4 linked regions of the Struthio camelus genome follow. The protein of the gene in region 2 binds, or shares a complex with, the protein of the main gene of each other region. Links are inferred from orthologs where the notes say so. Each region holds a gene or a part of one and is shown on either strand. Other genes may lie near its edges. The genes, in order: B9D2, TMEM17, TMEM216 and CC2D2A.

Region 1 (7,748 bases), on a different chromosome or scaffold from region 2:
GGAAGGGAGTGGGGAGGTGGGGGGATAGAGGGGGGTTTGGGGCATTGTTGGGGGATTTGGGGATTTTGGGGAGGGAATTGGGTTGGGGGGGAGAGTGGGAGGTTCGAGGGGGTTTAGGAGAGAATGGGGGGATTGAGAGGGGTTGGGGGGATTGGGGGTTTTGGGGGGAGAATGGGGGTTTTGGGGGAGGGATTTAGAGGGTTTGGGGGATAGAGGGGCGTTTGGGGAACGCTAGGGGGAATTGGGGGCTTGGGGGGATTTCGGGGGGTTTGGGGGTCTTTAGGGGGATTTGGGGGGGTTGGGATTTTGGGGGGTTTGAGGGGCTGGATGTGGGTTTGGGGGGGCGTTAGGGGGAATTGGGGGTTTGGGGGGACTTTGGGGGGTTTGGGGGACGTTAGGGGGATTTAGGGGTTGGGATTTCGGGGGGTTTGAGGGGCTGGATGGGGGTTTGGGGGGCGTTAGGGGGAATTGGGGGCTTGGGGGGGGTTTCGGGGGGTTTGAGGGGCTGGATGGGGGTTTGGGGGGCGTTAGGGGGAATTGGGGGCTTGGGGGGGATTTCGGGGGGTTTGAGGGGCTGGATGTGGGTTTGGGGGGGTTAGGGGGAATTGGGGGCTTGGGGAGGATTTTGGGGGGTTTGAGGGGCTGGATGTGGGTTTGGGGGGGTTAGGGGGAATTGGGGGCTTGGGGATTTCGGGGGGTTTGAGGGGATTTCGGGGGGTTTGAGAGGCTGGATGTGGGTTTGGGGGGGTTAGGGGGAATTGGGGGCTTGGGGGGGGTTTCGGGGGGCGCGCGGGGGCCGGAGGGGGCCGGGGGCGCCTTGACGCGGGGCGCAGCTGCTGGCCTGCTGCCTGAACGCCGCCTGCCTGGGGCTGCTGGACGCGGGGCTGCCGCTGGCCTCGCTCTTCTGCGGCGTCGCCTGCGCCCTGCGGCCCGACGGCCGCCTCGTCCTCGACCCCACGGCGCGCCAGGAGCGGGTGAGCGGGTCCCCCCCCCGTCCCCCCCCACCCCGGGGGGCCGCGGTCCCCCCCCCCGGCTCAGCCCCGCTGCCCCTCGCCCCGCAGGAGGCCCGCGCCGTGCTCACCTTCGCCATCGCCAGCCCCGACGGCCGCCTCCTGGCCGCCGCCACCACCAAGGGCGCCTGCTCCCCCCAGGAGGTCAGCGCCCCCCCCCCCCCCCCCCGTCCCGGCTTTCGGGGCGAATCGCCGCGGGTTTGGGTCGCTCCGGGCAGCGAGGGGTTTCCTGCGGGTTCCCGGCCTGTCGGTTCCCCCCCCCCCCCAAAACACACACGCACTGGGGGTTGTGACCCCCGTCCTGCCCCGGGGGGCGGCCCCCCCCCCGTGTCCCCCCCCCATGCTGTGGGGCAGCCCCCCCCAATGCTGTGGGGCAGCCCCCCCCATGTCCCGTTCCCCCCCCCATGCCATGGGGCAGCCCCCCACCATGTCCCGTTCCCCCCCACCACCATTGGGCGGCCATCTGCGTCATGTTCCCCCCCCCCATGCCGTGGGGCAGCCCCCCCCCCGTCCCGTTCCCCCTCCCGCCATGGGGCGGCCCCCTGTGTCCTGCCCCCCCCCCCATGAGGAACCCCCCCCCCGTCGGGTGGCCCCTGTCCCCCCCTCCCACCATGGGGCAGCCCCCATGTTCCACCCCCCCCCGCCGTGGGGAAGCCCCCCCCCCATGTCCTGTTCCCCCCCTGCGGGTGAGGTGGCCCCCCCGTGCCCCCCCCACCATGGGGTGGCCCCCCTGTGCCCCCCGCCACCATGGGGCAGCCCCCCCCATGGGTGAGGTGGCCCCCCCGTGCCCCCCCCCCCGCCGTGGGGCGGCCCCCCACGCCCCGCGCCCCCTCCGCAGCTGCAGCAGAGCCTCGCCGCCGCCCAGCGCGCCGCCGCCGCCATCTTCCAGTTCTACCGCGACTGCCTGCGCCGCAAGTACTCCAAGTGGTGACGCGCCGGACGCCGGGGCCCCCGACCCCCCCGCACCCATCCGGACTCCCCCCCGCACCCCCCTCCGCCGTCGGGGGCATTAAACAGGCCGCCCCGACCTGCTGCCGCCTCTCACTGCCGCCGCCCTGGGGGGGCCGAGCCCCGTCCCCCCTCCAGCCCTGCGTGCAGCCCCCCCCCCCACCCGGGGTAATTACCAGGGGGTAATTAGGGGCCTAATTGCTGCCACCTTGGCCCCCAGCTGTGCCCCCCTCCCCAGGCAGAGCGGGTGCGTTGGGGTCCTCGGCTGAGGCCGGGCGAGCTCGTGTCACCTCCCGGGAGGGGAAGGTGGGGGAGCCCGGGTGTGGGGTGCTCCCAATGTGGGGGGGGCTCTGGGCGTGGGGTGCCCCCAATGTGGGGGGCTGAGGGGGTTCCGGGTATGTGGGGTGCCCCATTTCAGGAGCCTGGGCAGGGGACAGTGGGACCCTGCACGCAGGACACGTGTGGGGACACGTGGCTATGGGGGGTGTGCGGGGCACGTGTGGGGACACGCTTGGAGACACGCGTGTCTGTGCCTGCAGGGACATGTGGGTGCGCTTGGGCAGGGTCAGGGGCCATGTCGGGCCACGTTGACCCATGTTGAGTTGCGTCAGGCCGTATCAGGCCATGCTGACCCGTGTCAAGCCGTGTCAGGCTATGCTGAGCCATGTCAAGCCATATTGGGCCACGTTGACCCATGTCGAGCTGCATCAGGCCATATCAGGCCATGTTGAGCCATGTTGACCCATGTCAAGCCATGTCAGGCCATGTCGAGCCATGTTGACCCATGTCAAGCTGCGTCAGGCCATGTCGAGCCATGTTGACCCATGTCAAGCTGTGTCAGGCCATGTCGAGCCATGTTGACCCATGTCAAGCTGTGTCAGGCCATGTCGAGCCATGTGGACCCACGTCAAGCCGTGTCAGTCTATGCTGAGCCATGTTGACCCATGTCAAGCCGCGTGAGGCTATGCTGAACAGTGTTGACCCATGTCAAGCCGTGTCAGGCCATGTCGAGCCATGTTGACCCACGTCAAGCCGTGTCAGTCTATGCTGAGCCATGTTGACCCATGTCAAGCCGCGTGAGGCTATGCTGAACCGTGTTGACCCATGTCAAGCCGTGTCAGGCCATGTCGAGCCATGTTGACCCATGTCAAGCTGTGTCAGGCCATGTCGAGCCATGTGGACCCACGTCAAGCCGTGTCAGTCTATGCTGAACCATGTTGACCCATGTCAAGCCGCGTGAGGCTATGCTGAACCGTGTTGACCCATGTCAAGCCGTGTCAGGCCAGGTCGAGCCATGTGGACCCACGTCAAGCCGTGTCAGTCTATGCTGAGCCATGTTGACCCATGTCAAGCCGCGTGAGGCTATGCTGAACCGTGTTGACCCATGTCAAGCCGTGTCAGGCCATGTCGAGCCATGTTGACCCACGTCAAGCCGTGTCAGGCTATGCTGAGCCATGTTGACCCATGTCAAGCCGCGTGAGGCTATGCTGAACCGTGTTGACCCATGTCAAGCTGTGTCAGGCTATGCTGAACCATGTTGACCCATGTCAAGCCGTGTCAGGCCATGTCGAGCCATGTTGACCCATGTCAAGCCGTGTCAGGCCATGTCGAGCCACATGGACCCATGTCAAGCCGTGTCAGGCCATGTCGAGCCACGTGGACCCATGTCAAGCCGTGTCAGGCTATGCTGAACCATGTTGACCCATGTCAAGCCGTGTCAGGCCATGTCGAGCCATGTTGACCCATGTCAAGCTGTGTCAGGCCACGTTGAGCCATGCTGACCCGTGTCAGGCCATGTTGACCCATGTCGAGCCATGTTGACCCACGTCGGGCCACGTCCAACCAGGCCCCCAAGATGGCGGCCCCCACAGCGCGGCAGCGCCAAGATGGCGGCGCCCTCCGCCGTACAGGCGCAAACATGGCGGCCCCGCCCTGCGCCACTACCGAGATGGCCGCCTCCTTATTCCCTCTCGCCCCAAGTTGGCGGCCCCCATTCCCCCAGGGCTCTGCCGCTGCCAAGGTGGCGCCGGCAGCCGCCTCCCCGGGCCGCGGCACCCGGCACCGGGAGGCCGGTCCGGTCCTTCGCGCTCCTGCGGGCCGAGATGGCCCCGCTCGGGGACCGGCGGAGGCGGCGCGACCTTCCCAAGATGGCGGCGGGGGGTGGAGCCGCGCTCTGCCCGCCGCCAGCCAGGGCGGGGCTGGCCACGCCCCCTCCCCTCCTGCCGCGGCCAATCAGGCGCCGGCGTTGCGCAGGCTGGCGGCGTTGCCGTGGCAACAGCAGCCGGAAGTGCGTGTGAGCGGCGGCGGGGAGCGCGCGGCGGCGGCGGCGGCGCGAGGAGCCCCCGGGGCGGCGGTGGGTGGGGGCGCAGCGCGCATGCGCGGGGCGGGGGGTTGCACACGAGTGTGCAAGGGGGGGCGGGGGGTGCGAACACCTGGGCTGGGCGTGCACCGGGGTGGTGGGTGTGCACCGCGGTTGTGCGTGCACGAGGGTGGTGGGTGTGCACGAGGGTGGTGGTTGTGCACCGGGGTTGTGCGTGCACGAGGGTTGTGGTTGTGCACGAGGGTGGTGGGTGTGCACCGGGGTTGTGCGTGCACGAGGGTGGTGGGTGTGCACGAGGGTGGTGGTTGTGCACCGGGGTTGTGCGTGCACGAGGGTGGTGGTTGTGCACGAGGGTGGTGGGTGTGCACCGGGGTTGTGCGTGCACGAGGGTTGTGCATGCACGAGGGTGGTGGTTGTGCACGAGGGTGGTGGGTGTGCACCGGGGTTGTGCGTGCACGAGGGTTGTGCATGCACGAGGGTGGTGGTTGTGCACGAGGGTGGTGGGTGTGCACCGCGGTTGTGCATGCACGAGGGTGGTGGGTGTGCACCGGGGTTGTGCGCGCACGAGGGTGGTGGGTGTGCACGAGGGTGGTGGGTGTGCACCGCGGTTGTGCATGCACGAGGGTGGTGGGTGTGCACGAGGGTGGTGGGTGTGCACCGCGGTTGTGCATGCACGAGGGTGGTGGGTGTGCACCGGGGTTGTGCGCGCACGAGGGCGCTGTGTGTGCGGCAGGACCGCGTGTGCAGCGGCGCCCGGGGCGGCCATGGCGGAGGTGCACGTCATCGGGCAGATCGTGGGGGCCAGCGGCTTCGCCGACGGCGGCCTCTTCTGCAAGTGGGGCGTCCACGCCGGTAGGGCAGGCGCACACGCGTGTCGGAGCGTGCACACGCGGCTGGGAGCATGCACGTACACGGAGGCTGCCCCGTACACGCGTGTGGGAGCATGCACATGTACCGGGCCTGCGTGCACACGCGTGTGGCAGTGCACAGATGCGGGTGGGAGCGTGCACACGCGGGCAGAGGCGGGCACGCGCGTGTGGGAGCATGCAGAGGCTGGCAGCAGCACGCAGCCGTGTGCGGGAGCGGGCACACGTGTGTGCAGGAGCGGGCACACGTGGGCAGAGGGGGGCGCGCGCGGGCGGGAGGGCGCACACGCGTGTGCGAGGCGGGCGGGAGGGCGCACACGCGTGTGCGAGGCGGGCGGGAGGGCGCATGCGCGTGTGCGAGGCGGGCCGGCGTGCCGCAGGTGGAGGCGGGAGGGCGCACACGCGTGTGCGAGGCGGGCGGGAGGGTGCACGCGCGTGTGCGAGGCGGGCCGGCGTGCCGCAGGCGGAGGCGGGCGGGTGCACGCGCGTGTGCGAGGCGGGCGGGAGGGCGCACGCGCGTGTGCGAGGCGGGCCGGCGTGCCGCAGGCGGAGGCGGGCGGGTGCACACGCGTGTGCGAGGCGGGCGGGAGGGTGCACGCGCGTGTGCGAGGCGGGCCGGCGTGCCGCAGGCGGCGCGTGGCGGCTGCTGGCCGGCCGCCGCCAGGGCCAGACGCAGCTGGACGAGCCGCAGCCGGGCGCCGCCGCCTACTGGAGCCACCCCATCGACCTGCACTTCGCCACCCGCGGCCTGCAAGGTGCCCCCGCGCCCCCCGTGCACGCGCGTGACCCCCCGTGCACACACGTGATCCCCCGTGCACAATCCCCATGCACACGCGTGTCCCCCCGTGCACACGCGCGTCCCCCCGTGCACATGTGCATGATCCCCCCGTGCACACGCGTGTCCCCCGTGCTCAGGCGTGTCCCCCCATGCACACGTGTGTCCCCCCATGCATGATCCCCCGTGCACATGCGCGTCCCCCCGTGCACACGCGTGATCCCCCCGTGCACAGGCGTGTCCTCCCGTGCACACGCGTGTCCCCCTGTGCACACACGCGTCCCCCCGTGCACATCCGTGTCCCCCCATGCATGATCCCCCGTGCACAGGCGTGTCCCCCCGTGCACATGTGCATGATCCCCCCGTGCACACGCGTGATCCCCCCGTGCACAGGCGTGTCCTCCCGTGCGCATGCGTGTCCCCCTGTGCACACACGCGTCCCCCCGTGCACATCCGTGTCCCCCCATGCATGATCCCCCGTGCACAGGCGTGTCCCCCCGTGCACACGTGTGTCCTCCCGTGCACATGTGCATGATCCCCCCGTGCACACGCGTGTCCCCCCGTGCTCAGGCATGTCCCCCCATGCATGATCCCCCGTGCACAGGCGTGTCCCCCCGTGCACATCCGTGTCCCCCCGTGCACATGTGCATGATCCCCCCGTGCACACGCGTGATCCCCCCATGCACAGGCGTGTCCTCCCGTGCACACCCGTGTCCCCCCGTGCACACGCACGTCCCCCCGTGCACATCCGTGTCCCCCCATGCATGATCCCCCGTGCACAGGCGTGTCCCCCCGTGCACACGCGCGTCCCCCCGTGCACGCGCGGCCCCCGGGCTGACGGCGGCGGTGCGGGTGACACCCCCCCCCCCCGCGCCAGGGTGGCCCCGGCTGCACCTGCAGGTTTGGCACCGCGACGCCTTCGGGCGCGCCGCCCTGGCCGGCTACGGCTTCTGCGCGGTGCCGGCGCGGGCCGGCTGGCACGGCCTGGCCTGCGGCACGTGGCGCCCGCGCGGGGGCCCCCGCCAGCGCCTGGCCCGCCGCCTCCTGGGGGGGGGCGCCCAGCTGCGCGGCCCCGACCTGGTGCTGGGCGCCGCCGAGCGCTTCCGCCTGCGCACCGAGGCCGCCGGCACCGTCCACCTCCAGCTGGCCGTGCTGCTGCGCCACTTCGCCCGCTACGGCGTCCAGAGCTAGGGCCCCGCTGCGCCCGGACGCCTGGGCCCCGCTGCGCCCGCACGCCTGGGCCCCGCTGCGCCCGGACGCCTGGGCCCCGCTGCGCCCGCACGCCTGGGCCCCCGCTGCGCCCGCACGCCTGGGCCCCCGCTGCGCCCGCACGCCTGGGCCCCCGCGCCCGCACGCCTGGGCCCCGCTGCGCCCGCACGCCTGGGCCCCCGCGCCCGGACACCTGGGCCCCGCTGCGCCCGCACGCCTGGGCCCCCGCGCCCGGACACCTGGGCCCCGCTGCACCCGGACGCCTGGGCCCCCGCGCCCGCACGCCTGGGCCCCGCTGCGCCCGCACGCCTGGGCCCCGCTGCGCCTGCACGCCTGGGCCCCCGCGCCTGGAGGCCTGGGCCCCCGCGCCCGGACGCCTGGGCCCCGCTGCGCCCGCACGCCTGGGCCCCCGCGCCCGGACGCCTGGGCCCCGCTGCGCCCAGACGCCTGGGCCCCGCTGCGCGCGCACGCCTGGGCCCCGCTGCACCCAGACGCCTGGGCCCCGCTGCGCCCGGATGCCTGGGCCCCGCTGCGCCCGCACGCCTGGGCCCCCGCGCCCAGACGCCTGGGCCCCCGTGCCCGGACGCCTGGGCCCCGCTGCGCCCGGACGCCTGGGCCCC
Region 2 (7,758 bases):
AACCTGCTTTGCTGAGAATTACCGACAGCCCCCACCACCTTGCTCTGCACCTCCTGAAAGATTAAGTCTGAAGCCTGAATTCTGGCACTTGGGAGAGGAGAGGCACAGAAAGCCCAGTCGTGCCAAGACTTGCAGGTGTGAATGGGGCAGAATTTATCTCCCGTAAAGTCTGGAAGCAGAGTGAGCATCCGTTTGCTGACAAAGCTTATGATCAGAAAAATGAAACCTGAATTTCACATGTCAGTCTGACTGACAGCGTTATAACATGGCCTTTGCTGGCTATTCCAGAGCCACCTTTGGAAAAGAAGGGGCCTCTCTGCACCAGTCGGGTCACACAGAAAAGCTTTCAGTGGCACGTCAATGACAACAGACGTTTGTGTAAGTGAGAATATGGCTCAAAATTCATCCATTTACAGTACCTCCTTCTGTACCATATAGTCCTTTAGTACTTCTGCAAAACAAACAGTAAAACTGGTTTAACAGCAGCACCAGCTTTGAGTTTCCCAACGTGCTTTATAAAACTAAAAATCGCCAAAACAAAACAAGCTAGGAAACGGTTTTAACTAAATGCCAAGTACAGCAAGAAGAAAATCAATTCATGGGAGCAAGTAATAGCTTTTTTTTCCCTACTGTCTTTATGCTTAAGACTAAAATAGCCAAGATATATTTAATGCATGGAAGGACTGCAGCTATATATAATGCTTGAAATAGGGGCCTCCAATAGGTCTCATCAGCAGCAATAATTGTTTACCAGACACAAAAATCCTCTAGGTGTTAAACGAACACCAGGGAGTAGCATTCAAGTGACATGGAGAAAAGATTGTCCTAGGGTACCGCAAGCCAGGCGCACAGCTGTGAAATTGCTCTGGCAGACACTGTCACAGCTAATAACGTGATCCTTTCAAACACAGAGAGTCCTCATGGCATTTGTAATTTGTTAAAATTCCCAATCTGTCACTTCTTTCTGAGAACAGAAGGAGAAAACAAGCCTATACTCTGCTTGTCTGTGCATACCTCTGTTCACCAGCACTTTTTACATGTTTTACAGGATTTCTATTAAAACACTGGGCAGGTATTAAAGGGCAAGCAAAGGGAAGAATGATTTCTGTTGCTTGCATGCTTATAGCTATCTAAGGGGCAGTAGCGCAGGCATGCCAGGGAAAACAACATTTGTGAGATTCCAAACCAGCACATTCAGAAATACAGCAATTGCGATTCAGGTGGAAAGATAAACCATTGGCACCATTTAAATGAACTCTGTGTTTCTGAAATGCCAGCTGTAAAAAACTGCTGATATTTAATTTCGTTAGATATACTGCATCTGGTGTTTATGGCTTAGTGCTGTTGCCAGAGAGCCCCAGGAGCTTCGGTCTGGGAGCCAAGCCAGTGTCTACCAACTTAGTTGGACTACTGTGGATACACAAAGATCCAATATTCCTCTGATTTAAAGCTTTCAGGCAGATTTTCAGTGACTTTTGTTTTATTTATAGTTAGCATGTGCCGAGAGAAATAAAACAGTCACTTAATATGCTGCACAACTATGGGTTTATTTCCTCCAGTTTCTCATTTCAGTAGCTTATTTTGAAGCCTGGAGAACTGGAAATCTGTCTATTTCTACCTTAAGCACTCATAGGTGGATAGACACAAAGGAATTCAGTAACGGAATGCCTTTCCGTTAAAAAATAAAAAGCCAATATACAACTTTATTATAAAACTTGGATACTTACACTATTTATACAGATGGCCATCATAACTGTTATAGTCACACACGGCTAAGCGTTTTTCTTTCTGTCACCCCTTATAGCATATATTTATAAGCTTCTGTTATATGAAGCTTTGATTTATCAATGCAGATACCCTGGTGTTCTGATACTTAAAGGGTTTCAGATTATTTTCTGCTTGAAACTGCTCCCTAAAAAACCCTAAAAAAAAAAATCAGAGGAATTCTGTTCATTACATTGACAATAAATGCACGACTCAGCCTGAAGAAAATTAAGCAGGATTAGCAAAACAAAAAGCATATTCCGTCTTCAGGGAGTATTTTAAGCGTCTGAGCGGACACCAAAACACGAAATAAAAATGTGCACAATTTTATTTTGCGGGGACGTGTGGAATGCTCGGCCATCTGCTATAAACGTGAGGCTGCCAAATATCACAGATTCACACCTTGAGTTTGGAAATTGAGTTCACATGGCAAATCCAGGCATTTCTTGTGGTATCTGCATTCCATCAGCCTTTCCTTTACCTGCTACTCAGTTTCACACTTCACTGACTGTTAAGCTGGATTGCTTCACAGTTTTGAAAGTGCAGAGCCCAATTTTACCAAGTTCCATTGACTGCCATAGAGCTGCTCACAGGACACCCGACTGTATGCTTCATAGGTTTTCAGAATGGGGGAACGTAAGAAAATCAGTTTGGGAGATCAGGGCCCCTGCTCAAAGCCACTGGCAACAGGAAAGGAACAACACTGTGCATTCTAGGAAAAATTCCTCCTTCCATTCTGAAAAAGTAATCAAGAGGAAAATCCTTAAAGGCTGAACTTTAACAGGCCACCAGCTTATACTATGAAAAACCCTGCAACTTCCATGAAGATCTTCCTTAATCAAAACCCAACCACGCTTTTAATTCATATACACCTGTTCCTTGGGTGTAATTAACTGAGAATATGGGAATAGTGCACCCCTAATCGGAAGGGTGTGAAATAGATTAGGACCAAGGCAACAACAATAAAACAGGGTTTCAGGCAACTTGATTAGAAATCTTGCACGGATTCATCATCTTGCCACTGTCTATAGCACAACTTTACAGCAAGAGGTGCAAGATGATGCAAAAAGCACTCAAAAATCATTTGTTGAGTCTGGTAGGAAACCTGTTTCTAGCACCTACTGGCAACTGGCAAAATAACAAATACAGATTGCATTTCTTAAACGTTCAGCAACCTACCTAACACTTTTTTTCCACGTTGCCGTAAATGTTAAAGAGAGCTTTAAACCCTTCTAGTACTGTACTTGGTAGTCAGCTAATTAGCAGGCACACAGGCACAGATTTTAGTCATTGAAACTATGGTATACCTCCAGTGCCTTCACAGCTCTGAGCTTTGGGGTCCATGTCTGGCTGGGACACAAGACTGTTGGTATGTCTACTCCATCAAATAGGCCAGCTCACTCAGGCACCATTGTCAGTATGCCTACAATAAGACAGAGCTCAAAGTCAGATACAGTCAGGTCAAAGGAGCTGGACAAATACTCATTTTGCCTTTGCTAGATTATTTCCCTGCAGAGCTGTCCTAGCAGCAAACCTGAGCTAGCTAGCTCAAGGCTAGTCCAGGCAGCCTTGCTGAGCTGTGGTCAGTGCTGTACAGACAGAGCTACATTATCTTTTTTCTTTTGTTATTTTGTAAGGAATATCTTACATTTAATAGCATATCTGCCTTCTTGTGCCCAGGACCTGTTTTAAGTTTTGCATCCCTTTCTGTAGGATTCAACAGAAACTGCATACAGCATTGCACAGGATTAAGCTTCTGTTTTGTCTTATCTGTAGCATCACCTACCTTTTAAGCTTCATTTTCTAGGAGTACTTCCACAGCAAAGCCTGCTGCCTTCCTTGCCTGTTAGGGGACATGCACAGCATCCCTTGAAATTCTGGGATCCTTCCAGAATTCTGGATTCCTCGAGACCCTTCTCCCCTCCAACCTGCGGCAATTATTTAAAAATCACTTCACCTCTTCTGAAGGACCCAAGTTTTTTATGTAGGTCCCTGCTGGCATACATCTGTTTGGGGAAGCTCTTTGAAAAGTATCTGTTGTGAATACTACATCATTCATCAGCACTAAACCAAACGTATTTCTCAGAACTCATGTTTTTCATCTGTCTCTGGGGTTCTCCCAGTGGAATAGGGCAAAATTAAATTTAAACTAGGCTTTAAATTATTTAGTCAGAGATAATTGAGCTTGGAAAGTCATACTAGAGAATGAGCACCCAGGGAAGTAGCTAAATATGATTTTTGGAAGGAGAAGGGAAGGGAGTCGCCACGTCACATTAGGTACATAAAAATCACAAAAGTTCAAAAGTTATCAGCCCTCGTAGGAAAGGGCACAAGTTGCTCTTTTGTTCTGGTCAGGCAGAACATAATTTCCTCCAGGCTTACAAAACGCATCCTTTCTCCTCAGAAGGAGCCAGGCCCTAAGTGTTCTGAAAAATCCTGGTGACAGATTACAGCATTATTAGGGTTCAGGCACAAAGTACCTATACGTTCAAAATAAAACAAGAGCTTTTCTTACTGCCCAGGAAGACTTCCTATAAGGCATAAAAGCTAACTGGAATTAAAAGGCTCTGCTGATATCACCACTACTTTTAACTCAGCTGTGCCACAAACAGGTTTCTTCGAGGAAAGGATATTTTCTAGCTGAGTTTTACCTCGATCTATCATAAAACCAACGCTGTATGATAGCCACTCAAAACAATACCCACTCTGAGGAATTAAATAGCTCCAACAATGTCCACCCTTACTCCACTTCTCCCTCCCTAGTTATCACTGAACACTACGGATCCCCTGAATTTACCCTCATAGAGATGGAAAACAGCCCTGCTCAGGAGGGAAGCAACCGCCTGCTGAAACAACCTTTTGTAACCGTGATTTAAAAAAAAAAAAACAAATTAATAATAATAATAACGAGCCGTGCCCAAACAAACTAGAAAAAACATATCCACCCACACGCCAGCGCCTCCCCCCGCCGAGCGCCGTCCTGAGGCGGCCAACGGACGCGCCGCCGGCCCCACTGCGCCTGCGCGCCGCCCCGTCGCCACAGTAACGGCGGGCCGCGGCGCCGCAGCATGTCGCTGCCCGAGCCCCTGAGGAGGCGGCTCGGCTCCTTTAGCCGCACTGTCTTTATCGACAGCAGCCGCCGCAGCGGCCCGCAGTCCCCGGGCAACAGCGCAGGTAAGGGCGGTGGCGGCTGGCCGGGCGTCGTGCCAGCGACAGACATGGCGGCGGGGGACAGCGCCCGCCGAGGGAACGGTGCCGAGGCGCGCGGGGGAGGGGAGGGGCTTGCCAGGAATAAAGATGGCGGCACCAGCCGACGCCTAGAGGCCGTTGGGGCGGGGCCGCGCGCCCACGGCCGTTACGCGGTGTCTCCGCTCTCCTGAGGGAGGGCCGGCGCGGGCCTGGCGGTCTCTACGTGGTCTCTGGTTTCGCTGTCGATGATGTAGTGTAACTTAATGGGTGTTTTCTGGAGTAAAACAACAGCGGCCGTAATCTTTCCCCCTGCACTTAACGTGCTTCAGTGGCGCAGGGTTAAGACTGGCTTCCCGGGCACTTAAAATATTAAATGCGCAACAGTCTGATTTAAAAGCAGCTCCGCACGACCCTCTGCACCCACCTTTACAGCTCAATAAGCGAGTCGGCATAAAATATGACCGATAAAAGACACCAATACTACACACTGTACACTCCACCTATACGAAATTAAAACGTAGTAATGATTTTATAGAGAACCTTGAGAACAAATAAAAGACGGGAGCTATTGTTTTAAGCCCAATAGTCCTACGCAGAGTTAGGACACCCACCGGACGCTCAGAGCAGAAGGAGACGAACCAAGCAAAAACCCAGACCTTCAACCTTCTTCTTGCAGCTCTTACCAATAAGGACCGATAGCTTCGTCACCTTGCTAGTGAAACCTGCAGGATGATAAAATAAAGCAAAAAGCTATTATTATTTCAAGAGAACCCATTTTGTTTGTGTCGTTAGACCGGTCTATCTATAGTGCTAGCACTTCCTCGTTTAGCCAGATCAATTCCTAATTACAGCTACCAAGCACCACTGAGACGCTTTTCTTAACTCCAGGAATAGCTTCTTATTTTAATCATTTATTTTACCTTTTCTTTCTTGAAAACTCCTACATGAATGTCCAGCCCATTGAAACCAATGGTAAATAGACCATTAACCTCTTTGAGGTCCTGTTTTTGAATCTTAAGTCTACACATACATACTTTAGTGAGTTGCCCTGGTGCCAAGGGGCCACTGGGTTACTGTCTGGCATTTCCACATATTTTTACAATCCCAAAAAGTAAACAGTAGTTCGATTTAGGTGTAGAAAGATGAATTAGACTTGGCTTATATTGCTAAACATTCATCCAAAACACAGTCTTAAAACTTGAGAAGAAGTTACCAGTATGCATGCCTTGTCACTAAGACCTAAAAGTACCCAAAACATTCTCACTGGCTTTTTTTGAATAACATTACATTTTCATCTAATGGGACAGAAACACAGTTGGTTATAATTAGATAGTCTGATTTTTTGAAAGATAAAACAGTGTTTTAGAATTGCATCTCAGTGCCTCTACAATCCATGGTTAGTACCCTAGATCTGGTATTTAGGGATTCATTCATTAGAACAGCTGACAGTTCCTCGGACAAATTTAGGTAGACAGTAAAACTGCTTTGAGGTACCTATAGATTTTCATTCCATGCAGATGTAGGAGAGTGTTGATATTTAAAAATGGGATTATTAAAAATATTGGTTGTCTTGCACCTTCTGTTTCAGTATAGCAAATCCTCGCCCATCAAACCCTACCCTTAAGGTTTGTCCCAGTTCTGTCCCCAAATCCTCCTCCCTTCCCACCTAGCCCAGTAGCTACCATGAACACTTCTGCAACTGGCATAAAGACTTCTGGAACAGACTGTACCAGGCTGCATGTGGTGGAACGGGGAACAGGGATGACAGACTGAGATGGAACAAAGACAGGTATGAGAATGGTTGGAAGATATGACAAGAGATGGCATTATCAGAAGAGAGGTGGTTCTGAAGTCAAAGGTGAACAAAACATGGCTGATAATCTGAGTTTCAATTGAATATCACCATGGTGGCACGCTGGGGCACGGGACTTAGATACAAAACAGCAGGTCCAGAGCAGCAGCTCACAATGAAATCTTTCTAAACTTGCTCAGGTAGTACCAAGTGAAGATTTGTCTGCAAACTGCATTTAGGGAAAACGTGAGAAAAGAGACTGTTGGTAATTGAAGTAAATTGCATGCGACATCGGTTAACTAGACTGTGGCAATAAAACTTAGTCCATTAAAAACAAACAATTCTCTTGGGATGCCCTGGTAAGTTTTTCTTTGTTTGAGTTTAATCTTCTAAATCTATGGCTAAGTCCTAATTTTAGAATTTACAGCCTGCCTAGTGTTATGCAGTTCAATATTTTTTTCTTTGCATTGTGTCAACTTATCCTTTAAAGTCTGGAGAGACGGAAATAAGTTTGAGTTTGATACGTATGACGAACTGTTAGCTCCAAAGAAGTAAAAGAATTACTGTCATCTTGCAGTGTCACTGTGTATTCAAATGTCTATCTTAAATAAAGATTCAAAATGGAGAGTGGGCATTGCAAACCTGCTCTCTAGCAGCAAGTCTGTACCCAGGAGGGTCAGATACAAAACGAGAATAAGCCATAAGTGTATTCATTTAAACTTGGGACATTTTCTTAGAGAACAAAAATAAAATTGGCACTTACTATTTCTACAATGTCAGGATACACTACTACTTGAACAAAGCCTATCAATTTAGTTCAGAGACTGTTGATTAGCTGGTGGCTTATGATTTACTCCACAGTCAAACACTTGATTTGAATTTATAACTAAGGGATCAAAATTCTATATCCTGTGAACTGAAAGTTACATTAGATCCTGGGAAATGGTGTAACCCAAAATAGGGCAGAGTTTTTCCTCTGGGTCTCTGAAAATGCCATTCTTAATATTTAATTT
Region 3 (5,973 bases), on a different chromosome or scaffold from region 2:
TAACAAGTTCTAATAATAGAGGGGGTGTTTTATGGACCCTGTGCAGTGCAAGGCTGCAGGGGAGGGAAGGGCAGCTTGGGAGACTCCCTCGGGTGCTCTGTGCACACAGGTGGGTGCTGGTGGCAGGCTCAGAGATTTTTGGGGGGGGCGGGGGTGAGCACAGCTCCCTGCTAATGCAGGCCCTGGCACAGCCTTCCCCAGGCCTGGCTTATTTGTGCAGCTGAGGACCAGAATGACTCATACTGCTGCTTCCTGGCAAGTGGCGAGAGCGGAGCAGGGCTCTTGGAGCTGCCGGTGCCAGCGACGGAGGCAGATGCGCTGGGGCTACCAGAAGGGCAGGCAGAGCGGTACCTGGCCTCCACCGGTACCTGACCTCTAACATGCGTGAGGGCTTCCTGCACTGGTTCTGCCGGCATGTGGCCACGCAGGCAAGTGCAGCCCCTCTGCCCCCTGCGCTGGCTCCAAACAGCCCTGGGGGAAGCTACATGCCCAGGCACCAGGTAAAAATAAATATTTATTGGAAAATAGTAAATTATTCTGAGGTTGCAGTAGAAAAAGTAATTCTCCGTATCTCCAACTGACCTGCGTGTCACAAGCCCAGGGGTCCGGATCCTGCTACGTGGAGCTGGAGTCCCAGACGGCAGCAGGGCGGGTGCTGCCCAGCGAGTTACTTGCACGTGTTGCAGGCAGAGTAGAGGGGAACGCGCAGGGTGGAGGCTGCCCTGCCCCGCAGCTGCCCGTTGGCACAGGCTGAGCCACAGACACCCGCCGACGCCAACGTGCGCTCGGCCCAGCGCCCCGACCGCGCCGGAGCGGGGCCAGCCCGGCAGCACATCTCTGTCCCTCCCACCACGGCCAGCTGGGGGTAGGGTGTGGGCTGGACGACGGAGCTGTCAGCATGGCTGCGGGCTTCCTGCCGTCCCTTGTACCTGTGCCGCTCGGGAATGGCATCGTACCGTGTTGCGCTGGCCCTCAGTACGAATCCGTGCTGCAGAGAAGGGGAGATGGGGCTGGGTCAGCAGGCAGCAGCAGGCCCCCAGGCTAGGGCGGGGGCTGCACCCCACAGCTCGCCCTGCCTGGTTCCCACCGTGCCGGGCTGGGGGGCAGGTTATTTCCTTCCTTGCACCACGTGGCCAGGCTTCCAGCTGCAGCACTACCTGGAGAAGGAGGCCAGCGTGAGGATGCCCAGCAGCAGCTCTGCAGCATAGAAGACCAGGAGGATGGCGTTGAGGATGGCTTCCAGGCGCAGGGCGTAGGTCTGGAGCAGCAGGTAGTAGGCCGCCATCGTGGCCGCCGGGAAGGTCAGGGCCAAGCTGATGGAGAGCGGCACCTTCCGCTGGCACAGGTTGCCCTTTGAGCCTGCACAGCGCAACGTTACTGTGGCCTCACCTCTACCTCATGCAGCACAAGGGTACTGAGGCTCCCAGCGGGGTCCATGCTCATCTGTGGCCAGGACCCCGCCGTGGGGGACACAGCAAATGGTTCTGCTGCAGCCCCAGCACTTCCTGCTGGGGTCCTGAGCAAACACCAGCCACCGTGGGCTTGGGCCCTGGAGGTGTGCAAGGCTGGAGCGCCCCAGCCGCCCATGCCAGGCCCCCACCGCCTGCTTACCCCAGGACTTACCAAAGAAGATGCGGGTGACCTCAGTGCCCAGGTAGAGGAAGAGCATGACCACATCCAGCGCCAGGTTGGCGGAGGGGTAGGGCAACAGCAGCACTGCGGGCACAGCCACCGCCGCCCTCAGGGCTGGCACGGCCGCGGGTGGGCCGCCACCGCCCTCGGGGACGGAGGGGGGGGCCGGGGGGGCGGGGAGGGGGCCGGGCTCACCCTTGTAGACGAAGATGAAGGCCTCCAGGAGGAAGTAAGTGGCGCAGTACCAGCCGTTGAGGAAGAGCAGGATCTGCAGCGGCACCGAGGAGCGCTGCCGGCCTGCGAGCAGACGCCGGCCGTCGGCGGGGGCGGCCCGGCCCGCTGCCCCCGGCTCTCGCCGCCCCCCGGCTCCCCCAGCCCCGCTGCCCCCGGCTCCCGCCGCCGCCTCCCGCCTCCCCCAGCCCCGCTGTCCCCGGCTCCCGCCGCACCCACCGGCGCCCGGGCCCAGCCCGGCCCCGCACTCACTCCTGGGCGCCATCTTCCATCTCCATGGAGACCGCCACAGCCGCCCTCACTCCCGGGAGCGCTCGGAGGGGCATGCGCCAGGCCGCTCTCGCCGCCCCCTCTATGGCCGGGGAGGACTGGGGGACCTCCGAGACGCCGGTTCGCGGCCCCGGCCCGGCGGGCTCGCCGCGGCGCCGGCGGCTGCTCGCGGCAGAGAACCAGGAGCCGCGGCCCCGCTCCAGCGCTCCCTCTGTTCAAGCGCTTCCTACCGAAGTCCAAAGACTGGCAGGGAAACTGTGCTTTCACGGGTGAGCTGCTGGCTCCCATGTTCCCCCTGGCCACCCAGAGCCACTGCCCTTCTCGTATGTCCTGCAGCCCTTGTCCCCAACCGGGACACGGGGAACCTGCTCTTCCGCTCCCCCTCTTTCACATCTCACCAGCTCTCACCTATGCACTGCATGAACGATCCTCCTCCCTCTGCCCAACGCAGCTCGGGGATAAACCCATGCCACCCAGAGCCCCCACTGCTTCTACCTCAGTCTGAGCATCCCCAGTTGGGACCAGTGGCCTGCATGACACTGAGAGGTGATGCAAGGTGAAAACAGTCCCAGTTTTGTGACTGAAAACACACTGCCTAGCTAGCTAGGGCCTGCTAATGAGTAAATAACATTATTGGTTCAGTTCTCTCCAGAACAGTCACTCAAGGAAGCTTGCTGTCAACACGGCATCGCAGTCCAAGAAAAGAGCAGGAGCGGCCTGGGGGTGCCCGCAGCACACAGACACACGACAGCCGCTGGAAAACACAGCCAATTTATTTCTTTATAATTTACAAAAACTAAGTCCCAGCAGGGGATGTAATGCCGGGATAGAGCCCTCCTGCTGCACGGCTGGGCCCGCAGCGTGCATCCTGCAGCTCCTGCTGCTGCCGGAGCATGAGCCACACTGGAGCAGGTGGAAGGATGGGTCCCCAGAAGGAGGAAGAGAAGGAAGAGGAGGAATGTGTCTGGACTGGAGTCATAGGGCCTGGACAAGCCCTCTGGCCTCTTGGCTCCATCCCTGGCAAGGCAGCGGCTGGGCCCACAGACGAGGAGGAATGGAAGGAACCCCAGGAGAGCTGGCATGGGCAAACGCTGATCCTGCGTGCAAGGGCGCTGCTCACCCCGGGAGCTGCCTGCGCATGCTGAGATGAGGCAACAGGCAGCCGAAAGCCTGAGCAGAGCTGTCAGCCACGGAGCTGAGCAAACTCCTTGCGCAGCCACAGCGAGTCCTGATAGAAGAGGGGGTCGCCCAGGTGCACCGCGGTTCTCTTGTAGAAGTAGCAGTAAAGCACAGCCGCTGGTGGAGAGAGGGAGGTGAGGGCCAGGCGGGCAGGAACATCCACCCCCACCTCCCTCCCTGAGGAGTTACGTCACACACGCTCCCAGAGGCGGTCCAGGGGCCTCCGCTGATGGTACAGGACCCCCACAACCACCCTGACATGGATGCCAGGGCTGCTGTGGGCTGTCCCAGCATGGCCAGTGAGGCAGGCAGCACCCTGAGAAGGTGAGCCCTTACCCAATCTCTGGAAGACAAAAAGCGTCTGCAGGCCTTCGGTCCACACGAAACGGCTGGATTCTCTCCACCGCAGGTTCTGAGGCAGACAGACAAATGTGTGGGGCGTCAGGGCCAAGAAATAACCCTTGCATTACTGCTTGGGGACGGGGAGAGTTCAGCACCCTGCACCTTTAGCTCCCCCAGCACGGTGCCCTGGGAACGCCAGCAGGAGAAGGCTGTCCCTGCACCCTACGGACCGTGGCTGCCTTGAGGCTCTCCCCACCAGGGGAGAACGAGATCCTTCTCTGCCTGGGCAAGAACCCGTGGGCACGGTGGCTGACTCCGAGAGACAGCGTGCAGCCGGGAGCAGCGCCCTACCCCAAAGGTTAAGCAGCTCAAGGGATTTAGACAGCGAGCCAGGACCTATTCTAGCTTCAGACTTCAGATCCCAGGAAATCCCTGTCAATCCCCTGCCCGGGTGGTGTGTGGGCAGCGCAAGCCCGGCTGCACACTCGGGCAGCTCCCACCCCTTGAGCGCTTACTATCCTCGGCACCATAGCGCTCTGGTAGCGGGGTGGGGGTGGCACCCTCGGAGCTGGGGCACTGTCCCTGCCCCACGCCCAGAATAGCTGGGGCTACGCAGGGGGGTACTCAGGGGCCAGGTGGGGTTGTGGGTTGCTACTTTTGGGGTCTGGTGCCTGGGGCAGAGGACAAGGGAGCGCTAAGGCCAGGGACAGAAGGGAAAGATGCTTCTCAGATGAGCAGGGAACCCTTACAGCTTGCTGAGCTGTCTGATGCCAGCGGATGGGGGGCTGCAGCCAGCCTCTGAGCGCTGGCATTTGCTGGAGATTAATCCCAGGTAATACAAGGTGCTGCTGTCACGGCCTTCAGGCTGGGGATTACCCAGAGCAGTGTGTGCCAGCGCAGCGCCAGAGCCAGGGGGCTTTCCATGGGGAAAGAGGATTGTCCAGCAGGTCAACCAGGGAGGGGGCTGGGATGTGGCAGCTCCCTTCCAGTCAGGGCAAGTACTGAGCAGACTGTGAGGCCAGTCCCTGCTTCTCATAGCTCAGTGCCTGCCTCTCAAATGACCTCTCTTTGCCTCCTGGGCTGAGCACGGCCCAGGAACATCTGCTGCGTCACTGCTGCAGCCTACAAGCCCAAAAACCGTGGCCGGGGCACATGCGCAATTGCAGGGGGACAAGGAGCAGTGAGGAGGGGGAGTCATGCCAGAGGCTGAGAGAAGACCTCTCCCATCTCTACAGCTAAATTCCCCACTGCTCCTGCCTTCACTGCCCTCTTGGGAGCAGAGAGCTTTCCTGGACACACTCACCCACCTACTGAAAAGCTGCTCACACAGGCAGGCTAAGTCTTCCCCAAATCCCCCGGGGGAGCAGCTGTTTCCAAACTGTGCAGGACAAAAGGTGCAGGGGGAGATTCTGGCCCTCCACTGATGCCCAGCATGTGGGAGAGGGGCTGAGGGGAGCCAGGGGTTGTGGCCAGCAAAGCAAGGGGACCAGTGCCCTGTCTGCATGTCCTCTGGGGAAAGTTGGCAGCCCAGGACCCCTCTCAGCCTACCATGACCCAGACATGGAAAGAGATGCTGAGTGCCAGGTAGGCCGCTGACAGGAGGATGGTCCCCTTGAACTTGTGAAAGAGGAGGTTGACCAGACCGGCCTGGAAGACGAAGGTGTTGAAGAACATGAGAAAGATGATGATGACGTTGAAGAGGATGGCAATGTCCTGGATACTGCAGGAGGAGAGAGAGGTTGTAAGCACCCTTGTGGTACGGGAGACCCCAGCCCTCCTGTCCCCCGCTCACACCTCTAGGTCTGCCTGGCACTCACATGAAGAGGACAAGTTGGACAGCAGGAGCTGTGCGGAGCAGCTCAGAGAAGGAGTTGACAAACAGGTCGTAGAAAAGCAGCAGAAACTGCAGGAACAGCACCAGGCTGTAATTACTGGTCTGGAGCATCTTCCTTTCCCAGGGGCACAAGCCCTCAGCCCCGGCATCCCAAGTGACAAGGCCAGCTCATGCTCTGGAGCCGAGGGGCTCAGCGTCACCTCTCGTACCACAGCCTTTCCCTACAGCCAGCACCTGGGGCCTGGAAGGGGAGCAGAGGGTATAGCTCAGCAGGGCCAGACACAAACGCCACAACTGACACAGAATCCAACTCTTCCTGATCCCCACAGTGAGAAAATCCAGAGTAAATCCAAAAAGGAGCCTGCTGGTTTCTGTGCTTCTGCAGCCAGGCCCAGCTCAGGGAACAACCTGCCTGGCTCCTCTTATGTTGCACATATGTAGCAATGAGACTGCCAGTTCTCTACCCCAAGCAGCGAGGCCTGCAG
Region 4 (7,536 bases), on a different chromosome or scaffold from region 2:
CACTGGTATATCTTTCTCAAGGAGTAAATATATTTTTGAAGAAGCATTTTATTTGTTTCGGTATAAACTATTTAGACTTCAGCTTACAGAACGCTGAGAGGTAATATTCATTTCAGTGTATTCACTTAAGTCAACATTGCCAGCTGGGGCTATATCAGTGTTTCTGACATATCAGAGGCACAATTCTTCCTCATACGGGCATGAAAAAATTCTGTGTACTTTAAGGAAGTTCTCAGTGTCTGATACTTGATTTTGCCTTTTTTATACATCGTACCAACTCATGAGAGTTATTACCTAAAGCAAAAGAAAAATTAAGTACACCAATTATACATTGATATTGACGATAATACCTACAGTTTAGTAGTACATACGTTACAAAAAAAGGTATTTTGAACTATTTGGTATATGGCTTATAACCCTCAATTCTGAGTATAATTACTTTGGTATGGTCCAGCCTCTACCTGATGGGGGCTGGAAGGAAACTTTTTCCTAGATGTAGATTGTTCCTGAAGCAGCAAATATTAGCATGAAGTTCATCTGACTGCAGTCTCTAAAAGATCAGTGCGTAGGTTAAGCCAGTTGTTAGCTCTCCTGTCATCACTGCAAAGATACGGACAACTATACTAGAGAACTACTTTAAGACAAAAAATCTGGAGGTACCTGCCTTCTTGCATTAATAGTGAGGGACACCAAATTGACTAGCTTAGGTTAGAATTTAACTTTGAGATGGCAAAAGTTAAATAAGATTTCTGCTCTTGGAGAGCAACCTGCTAAGTGGGAAAAGTGGCTTAATTTAGTATGGCAAATTACACGCCTTATAACTAAAAAGAAAGCTTGGATTGACCAGCAGAACACGGAATCACCCTTACAAAGATGCAAGGGACCTCTTGTCACAGCACCTGTCAAGTACTGCTCAAGTTCCTCCTGGGACACCTTCAATTGCATTAACTTGGCTATCCTCCAGAATATTATTACAGTTTATTAAGGCGGGCTAGATAATCTTTTCATGTCGCCAAATTCAACACATTCAAGTATATAGAAAATACCTGACTTTCAAAGGAGACTTAATTTGAGGTGTAGGAAACCTAAATATATCCTAGAATGTTTCTGCATACACCAAGGAAATGACAAATTTGTTTCTTTTCAAATTTAAAGCACCTGTCAGAATCCTAGACACAATACAAAATATTCACAAAAATCACCTTGTTAATGTAGTGTTAACAAAGGAACAAAACCTTTGAATTCTTGAAAAAGGGATAAATGAGTTCAGAATCATGTTCAGAATGCTCCAGAAGTGACCTCTTGGCAAGAGTAGGTAAGATTTCTAGAACTGAGTAAAGTGTATAAAGAATAACGTACTTTGTGACTTTTTAGCACCCACAGAGCTAATGGCACCCACTAGCACTTTCCGCAGCGTACGGTGGAAAGGATTTAAAACTTTGAGTTGAAAAACAGTCTCTTTAATCATCGGAAAAACTAGTCTGCCACTGATGCTGATGTCCAAGCGGCAGCTTTGCTCCTCTCCAGCACCACCTGTAGTCACCTATATTCTGTCAGATGTTCTGGTAATGAGCAGTGATTTCTTTTTCTTCTCTGACAAATCTGAGGGCATTTTATTGTGATTTTCTATCATGTTGGAGCAAGGTGCAATCAGTTAAAGAAAATCAAGATGAGCACAATTTGCTCCCCCTTGGTTATCTATCTCCCTGAAATTGGGATCATTTTAGAGCTGCATATACTAGCTCTTCTAAGAATGCAGCAACATGTCCTCATATTTTGTAGATGCTGTATGGATGTCGTAAGAATTGGAATTTTGCTTCTGTTTCCATTTGTTGTTACAGGATTTGGCTTTGATTCTGCAGGATAAAAGAGCTGTACATGGCATTCCTGACCTTACTTTATCCTTGCAAACTGAAAATAAACTCTATCCTTTGTTGCTTGCTATTCATCTTAAAACTGCTCTCCCTCAGGTCATCGGGCCGGCAATCCCTGTGCCATAGGCAGGACAGGGTGGCCGCATGTCCCAGAGGGCGAGGACGCGGACAAAGCGTGTGACAGCTCTCCCGCGAGCGAGGGAGGGCGAGGGAGGGGAAGCCCAGCCCGCCTCCAGCCCTCGCTCCCTGGGCTGCCTCTTTTTGGGCAGCTGGCCCCGGGGGTCTCCCATCCCTGCAGCAAGAGGTGTGGGAACGGGGCAGAGGCAGCGTGGCGGCCGCCAGCCTAGCGGCACAGCTGCAACTGCTGGTTATTGAGGACCAGCATTATGATTTTGCTTCGCCCCATGGTTTGTTGCATAGTTTGTTTGTCTGCTCTGCCTGTGCCAAAGGTCATCCTGGGCTGTCATTAGCAAAATAACAGCTTATGCCTAAGCGAGTGACAGTGTTACACCTAACAAAGTCGAGACAGCTCATTCAGAGCACGACATCTGCTGTCCAGGGTAATCAGACATTGGCCTTGCTGTTGTTTTTATAATACTGGCTGAAATAAATGTGTTGAACCTAGCTCCGGGAAACGTATGTGGTTTGAATTCTGTATTTCTCCTGTGAGTACAGCCATTGTACTGACGTGTTTTTTACGTAGCTCTCCATCCTGCTAGGCAAAGGTCCCCCACTGCTCCTCCAGGGTAGTGTAGTGATGTTCCTTATGTAACGCTATTCATATTTGTCCATCATTTAAATTGTTTGCATAACTGTTTCTGAAACTAGAATAAATTGTTGGGAAGCAGACTTATTAGCAAAACAAGATGTTTAATGTGATTCATTGCCAAAACCCTATATGAAGGCTCACCCACTGGATCACTTCCACGGTGATACAGTGAAGCTCAGCAGGCACTGGAGGCTCACTGCTGCGTATGTGCATGTGCCGCACCAAACCGCTCTCCTGATCACATTCCTCTCCCCTTCTTGTAATCTGTTGGCACGTAAGGTGTTTCCTAGCCGTGATAGTTCCTCTCTGCAAATTAAAAACGCTTACACCCAATCTTTTCTCTACTGTGACTGTTTGCTTCTTCCCATGAACCCCTTTTTGATAACAACAGTACTCAGAAATAGGAAACAACTTAGCCACCTCTTTTCATGTCACTTTAGGTACTAAAACTTTGCAGTAATGGACCTGCAGATGTTACGAAGGGGCAAGGATAACCAGGTCTAATAACAGCTCCATTTGGTATCAGCAATAACATTTATTCCGTTCATAAGGAAGATATTAATACAAATGTTTAGATAAGAAATTACTGTTCACCAAATTCAGTGCAGCAAAAAAGACCCTCTCTATACTTGATAGGAATAGTATCAATTACTTTGTACCTGTAAAAGTTAGGAATTGTATACAAGTCCACATTTCTACAAACTATCTGGAACTGCTAAGATACTCCTTCCACTGCTAGTATCTAGGTAAGATGGTTGTGAGCACTCAACAAGCAGATAACCCATCCCTCCACTGCTTCTCTAGCCAGGGGTGTCAGGGATTGTATTTCCCGTTAAGCAGCCTCTAGAGAAATCTGAATGAAACCTTGATACCCTTCTTTTATTCTGCTATGGAAGTAATATAATACAGTAAAAACTTTAAAAATAAGAAGTCCTATCATTTGTCTTACTTACTACTTTGGTTTCATGGTCTTCCTCCTCCAAAGTCAGATCATTTAGAGATACCTTTTTAGTCTTGATGTGGTAAAAAGCCTGTCTTGGCAAAGTGCAGCTGCTGAAAGCTTATACTTCTTTTTTTTTTTTCCAGTGTGCTATGTTTCCTGTGACTTTTCCCAAAAATTACAGGCTAAGAAGTTTGCTGAGACTTATGTTGATCCGTTAGGATCGTCTGTAAACAATAGGATACAGCTGTCTTCTTGATACAATTTGGGTTAATATTCTTTCTGAATATTTTAATGCATTGGAAAACAGAGATAGCACTTGAAAAACTGCTGGATAGTAACTTTACTTGAAGTAAAGTCCACTTTAAGGATTTATCCTTACATCATTAATGTCAGGGTTGAAATTCAGACTGAAATTCATCCAAGTAAATTTTGCTTATCTGAATGTTGGCATGTAGTCTAAACTAGGGGTCTACTATCACCCTGTAGTCAGCAGGGGGAGGTATGCTCCTCAGCAAACAATTTACATTCAGGAATATATAACTTAATTGCTTTGAATCTTACATGTCCCATGGATAGCATATGCTTCTCCTCTGGTTACAGAGGAAGTATAGAGAAATCAGCCAGATAATTTAGCAGAGCTAGGTCCTTAAAGTTAGGAAGAGTGACTATTTTTATTGTATTTCAGTCAGAAATAATCATTTCCGATCCTGCAAAAATATACAATGCATATTCTTTTCCAAGTTACTGCAGTAATTGAAATGTGTAGATGTTTGCAGAAGCTTTAAGCGCTTCCTCTTCCCTATGCTTTATTCATGACTTTCTCACTCCCTTTTCCTTTAGAAAAATAGTTTATAAAAAAGACATTTTCCAGGGTTTTTTTTTTCAGTGGCTTATGGGAGGGAATCTGACTCTTTCTCTTTAAAAAGGAAGGCCAGTGGTTTCCTTACAGCCTGTTGCTAGGCTGAGAGTGTTTGTGGCTGGCTGTTGTCTGTAGTCCTGGAGCTGCTGCATAAGAAAACCCAGGTAGGAAACAAATGCTTTCTTTTAGACCTCTTTAAATACCACTGTGTTTTCCTTGCTTTCATGCATGAGGCCGATTTAAGAATCCAAAATCTTCAAAATTATTTTTCACACATTTTCAAAGTAATCTTTTTTTTCAAAGAGAAGTTAGAGAAACTTCACTGTACTTCTGTTTTCAGTTTTAAGTGCTTTAGAAACAACCTCTGAGCTGAGAGAGAGCTTTATAGTTCTTACATTCAGTTGTTTATTACATTTTTAAATGCCTGCTGTAGTATTTGCTTTCAAGAAATGCTAGAAAATTGTTAAAGACAGTGGCTATACTGGTCTTCACCTATGTTGTGGCATTTTCCATTTACATGTGCCTGTAAGATAAGACTGTTTAAATCTGTTATGTAAATGCTTGATATGAAAAAGACTTCTGTGCTGAGTAATAAAAATGCTGCAGATTCTTGCAGTGCGGTATTTTCTCTGCCACGAGGATGGCATTTGATGAGACTTGCACGCAGCAAGGAAACATTCCAATTTTCAGCCATGTCCTTCTTCACACTAGTGCAACATACTTACAGAGGGAACTGGTACTGAGATGAATACAAAGGTGGTTTGGCACATAGTCACATCTGTCTAACGAAAACACTTGCTCAGGGCAAGTTCCTCACTGTGCTAGTCAGGGAAGCTGTCTGGCAACCTGAAAATCCTTTGGGCCTAGTAGCTGGTAAGTACTAATCCTTAGGCAGGAGATAATGCAATTATTTACCACCTTCCTACATCCTCCATTGGCTCCTCCTCCATTTTTTAGGCACCTCCTAAAAGATAAAGAGGAGTTTGAAGACCAGCCTTGCCTGGCCTGAAAACATTATTTGAAGTAAGAGTGAAAGAGCCTTTACATGCCCAGTACTAAAAAGGATGGAGAAACCAAGGATGACCTGTGTCGGCCTCCGTTAGCCCTCTGGCTAACGGAGAGATTCAGCCAGATATGAAAACATGTCTCATATGTCTCAATCCTGTGAGTCCTTTCATGGGAATTTTGAAATCCAGACTAAATTATGCTGCTGTGAGTCATTTTTAGATTAGTAAATCAACACTTGGATTTTGCACTAGTGCAGCTATGGTGGTGCAGGCCAAAGGCACTTCCCTGTTGATTAAAGGTAATGCAGTGCAGTACAAGAAACTGAAACAATAGTAGTAATGAATTGAGTTGTACCAATTTAACTAAAAAATTCTTCGAATGTTTGTAATCAACTACAACTTCCTGGTGTATATAAAATCATAGTAATTTGATGGATTTCAGACTTGGTAAACATGAAATGTCAAGCAAGCCCAATGCTGAGAGAGAAGAAAGGGATTGAACATGTCTCTGACATCTGAATTTCTGTGAATCTGCTCTCTGGTCAGGAGACTTTATGGACTCTGGGTGGGTTATTTATAAAAAAACATGCAACAGGTGACCTTCATATAGTGGCTCACTTTATTCACTGTTATATAGAATTATTAAATAAACTGACACATGTATTTTGAATTACTCAGTTTTCAAAAAAATAGCATTTTTTTAAACTATTAAGACTACATGTTAAATGGTACATCATTTGAGTGTTCAGGGTGCACAGGTCACATGGAATGATCAGTGTGCACACAGTAAAGTGTCTCTGACTGTAAAATAACTGCTCACAGTTTCTGTGTTTTGGTTCTGCCAGCCAGGTGTGAGCTACTGAATAGATGGACTGCAGTGAAGAATCCCGGATGATAATCATGGAGGTTAGTGTCCCCTTAGTTGAGACAAAACCGTTTTAACATCATTTCTCAGTGAGAGTGACAGGGATTTTTTGCATACGTAACTGACCTATAAGACGTTTTAGTGTTACTAAAATTACCTTATATGCTCTTGTTGTTCCCTAGCTCTGTACAGTGAGTACTAATTAACAGAGGCTTGTATAATTATTATATTTCTGGGCAAATACATTATAATCATAACCACATGGTGTGAAATATACACTTTTTATATACATTGCTATTGTTTCACATTGGTGTAACATATTGGCTGGATTAAATTATTAGTGAAATGTATTTTAAGCTCGAGTGCGTTATAAGAACAGGAGGTTACTAATCAGTAGAGCTACTTTTTTAGTTGGGCAACTGCATTTGTGTTTAAACTGTGCCTAGAGAAGCATGTTATGTCATGGCCAAACAGGTAGCTGACAGGAGGAGATGAAATGAAAAAATGCTCTAGAGATGACCTTCGGCTTTAACCCTGCTAATCCTTACTACCCTCCACACATTTGCGTAACTTCAGCCACGTGTCACGAGTTTCAGGACTGGGGCCTGCAAACGACATCAGTGAAATACAGACAGGCAAAACTGCTTAAATCGCAGCACTTGATAAGAGTAACAGATGACTTCTGTGGGCCGGGAGAGGGGCCCAGTCTGCGGCCCACAGCACAACTCCCTCTCTCTGAAAGGATTTCCTGGATGAGGACGCTGCCCAGGTTGAAAGGCTGAAGCGGACCTTGACAGCCCACAGGCACCGAAGAAGAAAACCGGTGAGGGTGTTCATTTGTTCATTTGCGACGGGCGGCTCCGCAGCGCCAGCAGCCGCCGGCCCGCCGCCGTGGGCCGCCCTCAGCGCGCCGCACGCGGCCGCGCATGCGCAAGCGGCCTCGGGCGCGGCGCACGCGCGCTCCCGCCCGCCCCCTCCGCCGCAGGCTCGGGGGACCCCCACGGGGCCGGGTCAGCGGCAGGTCGCGGCTCTCGCCGTCTTTCCCCCGCTCCCCTCACCCCCATCCTACTCATGCGTTCTCCTGCTCCGTCTCTGCCCCACTGCAGCTGCGGGAAGCTGACGGTGCCCCCGAGCTTTCGCCGCCGCCGCCGCCGCCGCCGGAAGGGAGCCGCGCCAGCATGGCGGCCGCTCCGCCGCCGCGCGGTGAGTCACCGTCCAA

What was found.
Region 1: TMEM17 (region 2) and B9D2 share a complex: the UniProt entries of both Homo sapiens proteins name them as parts of the tectonic-like complex. The link is inferred for Struthio camelus from reciprocal best matches to the Homo sapiens genes TMEM17 and B9D2.
Region 3: TMEM17 (region 2) and TMEM216 share a complex: the UniProt entries of both Homo sapiens proteins name them as parts of the tectonic-like complex. The link is inferred for Struthio camelus from reciprocal best matches to the Homo sapiens genes TMEM17 and TMEM216.
Region 4: TMEM17 (region 2) and CC2D2A share a complex: the UniProt entries of both Homo sapiens proteins name them as parts of the tectonic-like complex. The link is inferred for Struthio camelus from reciprocal best matches to the Homo sapiens genes TMEM17 and CC2D2A.

What each region holds. Positions count from the first base shown.
Region 1 is NC_090957.1:703,784-711,531, reverse strand, and holds B9D2 (B9 domain-containing protein 2), read left to right. Parts: upstream 1-4,871; 5' UTR 4,872-4,892; coding exon 4,893-5,130; intron 5,131-5,773; coding exon 5,774-5,899; intron 5,900-6,796; coding exon 6,797-7,110; 3' UTR 7,111-7,231; downstream 7,232-7,748. Other genes in the region: EXOSC5 (exosome complex component RRP46), read left to right, coding at 834-974, 1,062-1,154, 1,849-1,941. UniProt on the Homo sapiens protein: Component of the tectonic-like complex, a complex localized at the transition zone of primary cilia and acting as a barrier that prevents diffusion of transmembrane proteins between the cilia and plasma membranes.
Region 2 is NC_090944.1:140,245,695-140,253,452, reverse strand, and holds the start of TMEM17 (transmembrane protein 17), read left to right. Parts: upstream 1-4,741; 5' UTR 4,742-4,832; coding exon 4,833-4,938; intron 4,939-7,758. UniProt on the Homo sapiens protein: Transmembrane component of the tectonic-like complex, a complex localized at the transition zone of primary cilia and acting as a barrier that prevents diffusion of transmembrane proteins between the cilia and plasma membranes.
Region 3 is NC_090946.1:3,983,341-3,989,313, reverse strand, and holds TMEM216 (transmembrane protein 216), read right to left. Parts: upstream 2,149-5,973; 5' UTR 2,129-2,148; coding exon 2,083-2,128; intron 1,930-2,082; coding exon 1,828-1,929; intron 1,717-1,827; coding exon 1,624-1,716; intron 1,360-1,623; coding exon 1,158-1,359; intron 989-1,157; coding exon 973-988; 3' UTR 502-972; downstream 1-501. Other genes in the region: TMEM138 (transmembrane protein 138), read right to left, coding at 3,317-3,429, 3,649-3,724, 5,203-5,374, 5,472-5,599. UniProt on the Homo sapiens protein: Part of the tectonic-like complex which is required for tissue-specific ciliogenesis and may regulate ciliary membrane composition.
Region 4 is NC_090945.1:70,664,499-70,672,034, reverse strand, and holds the start of CC2D2A (coiled-coil and C2 domain-containing protein 2A), read left to right. Parts: upstream 1-4,533; 5' UTR 4,534-4,609; intron 4,610-6,297; 5' UTR 6,298-6,319; coding exon 6,320-6,358; intron 6,359-6,873; exon of another isoform or gene 6,874-7,059; coding exon 7,060-7,140; intron 7,141-7,249; exon of another isoform or gene 7,250-7,423; coding exon 7,424-7,520; exon of another isoform or gene 7,521-7,536. UniProt on the Homo sapiens protein: Component of the tectonic-like complex, a complex localized at the transition zone of primary cilia and acting as a barrier that prevents diffusion of transmembrane proteins between the cilia and plasma membranes.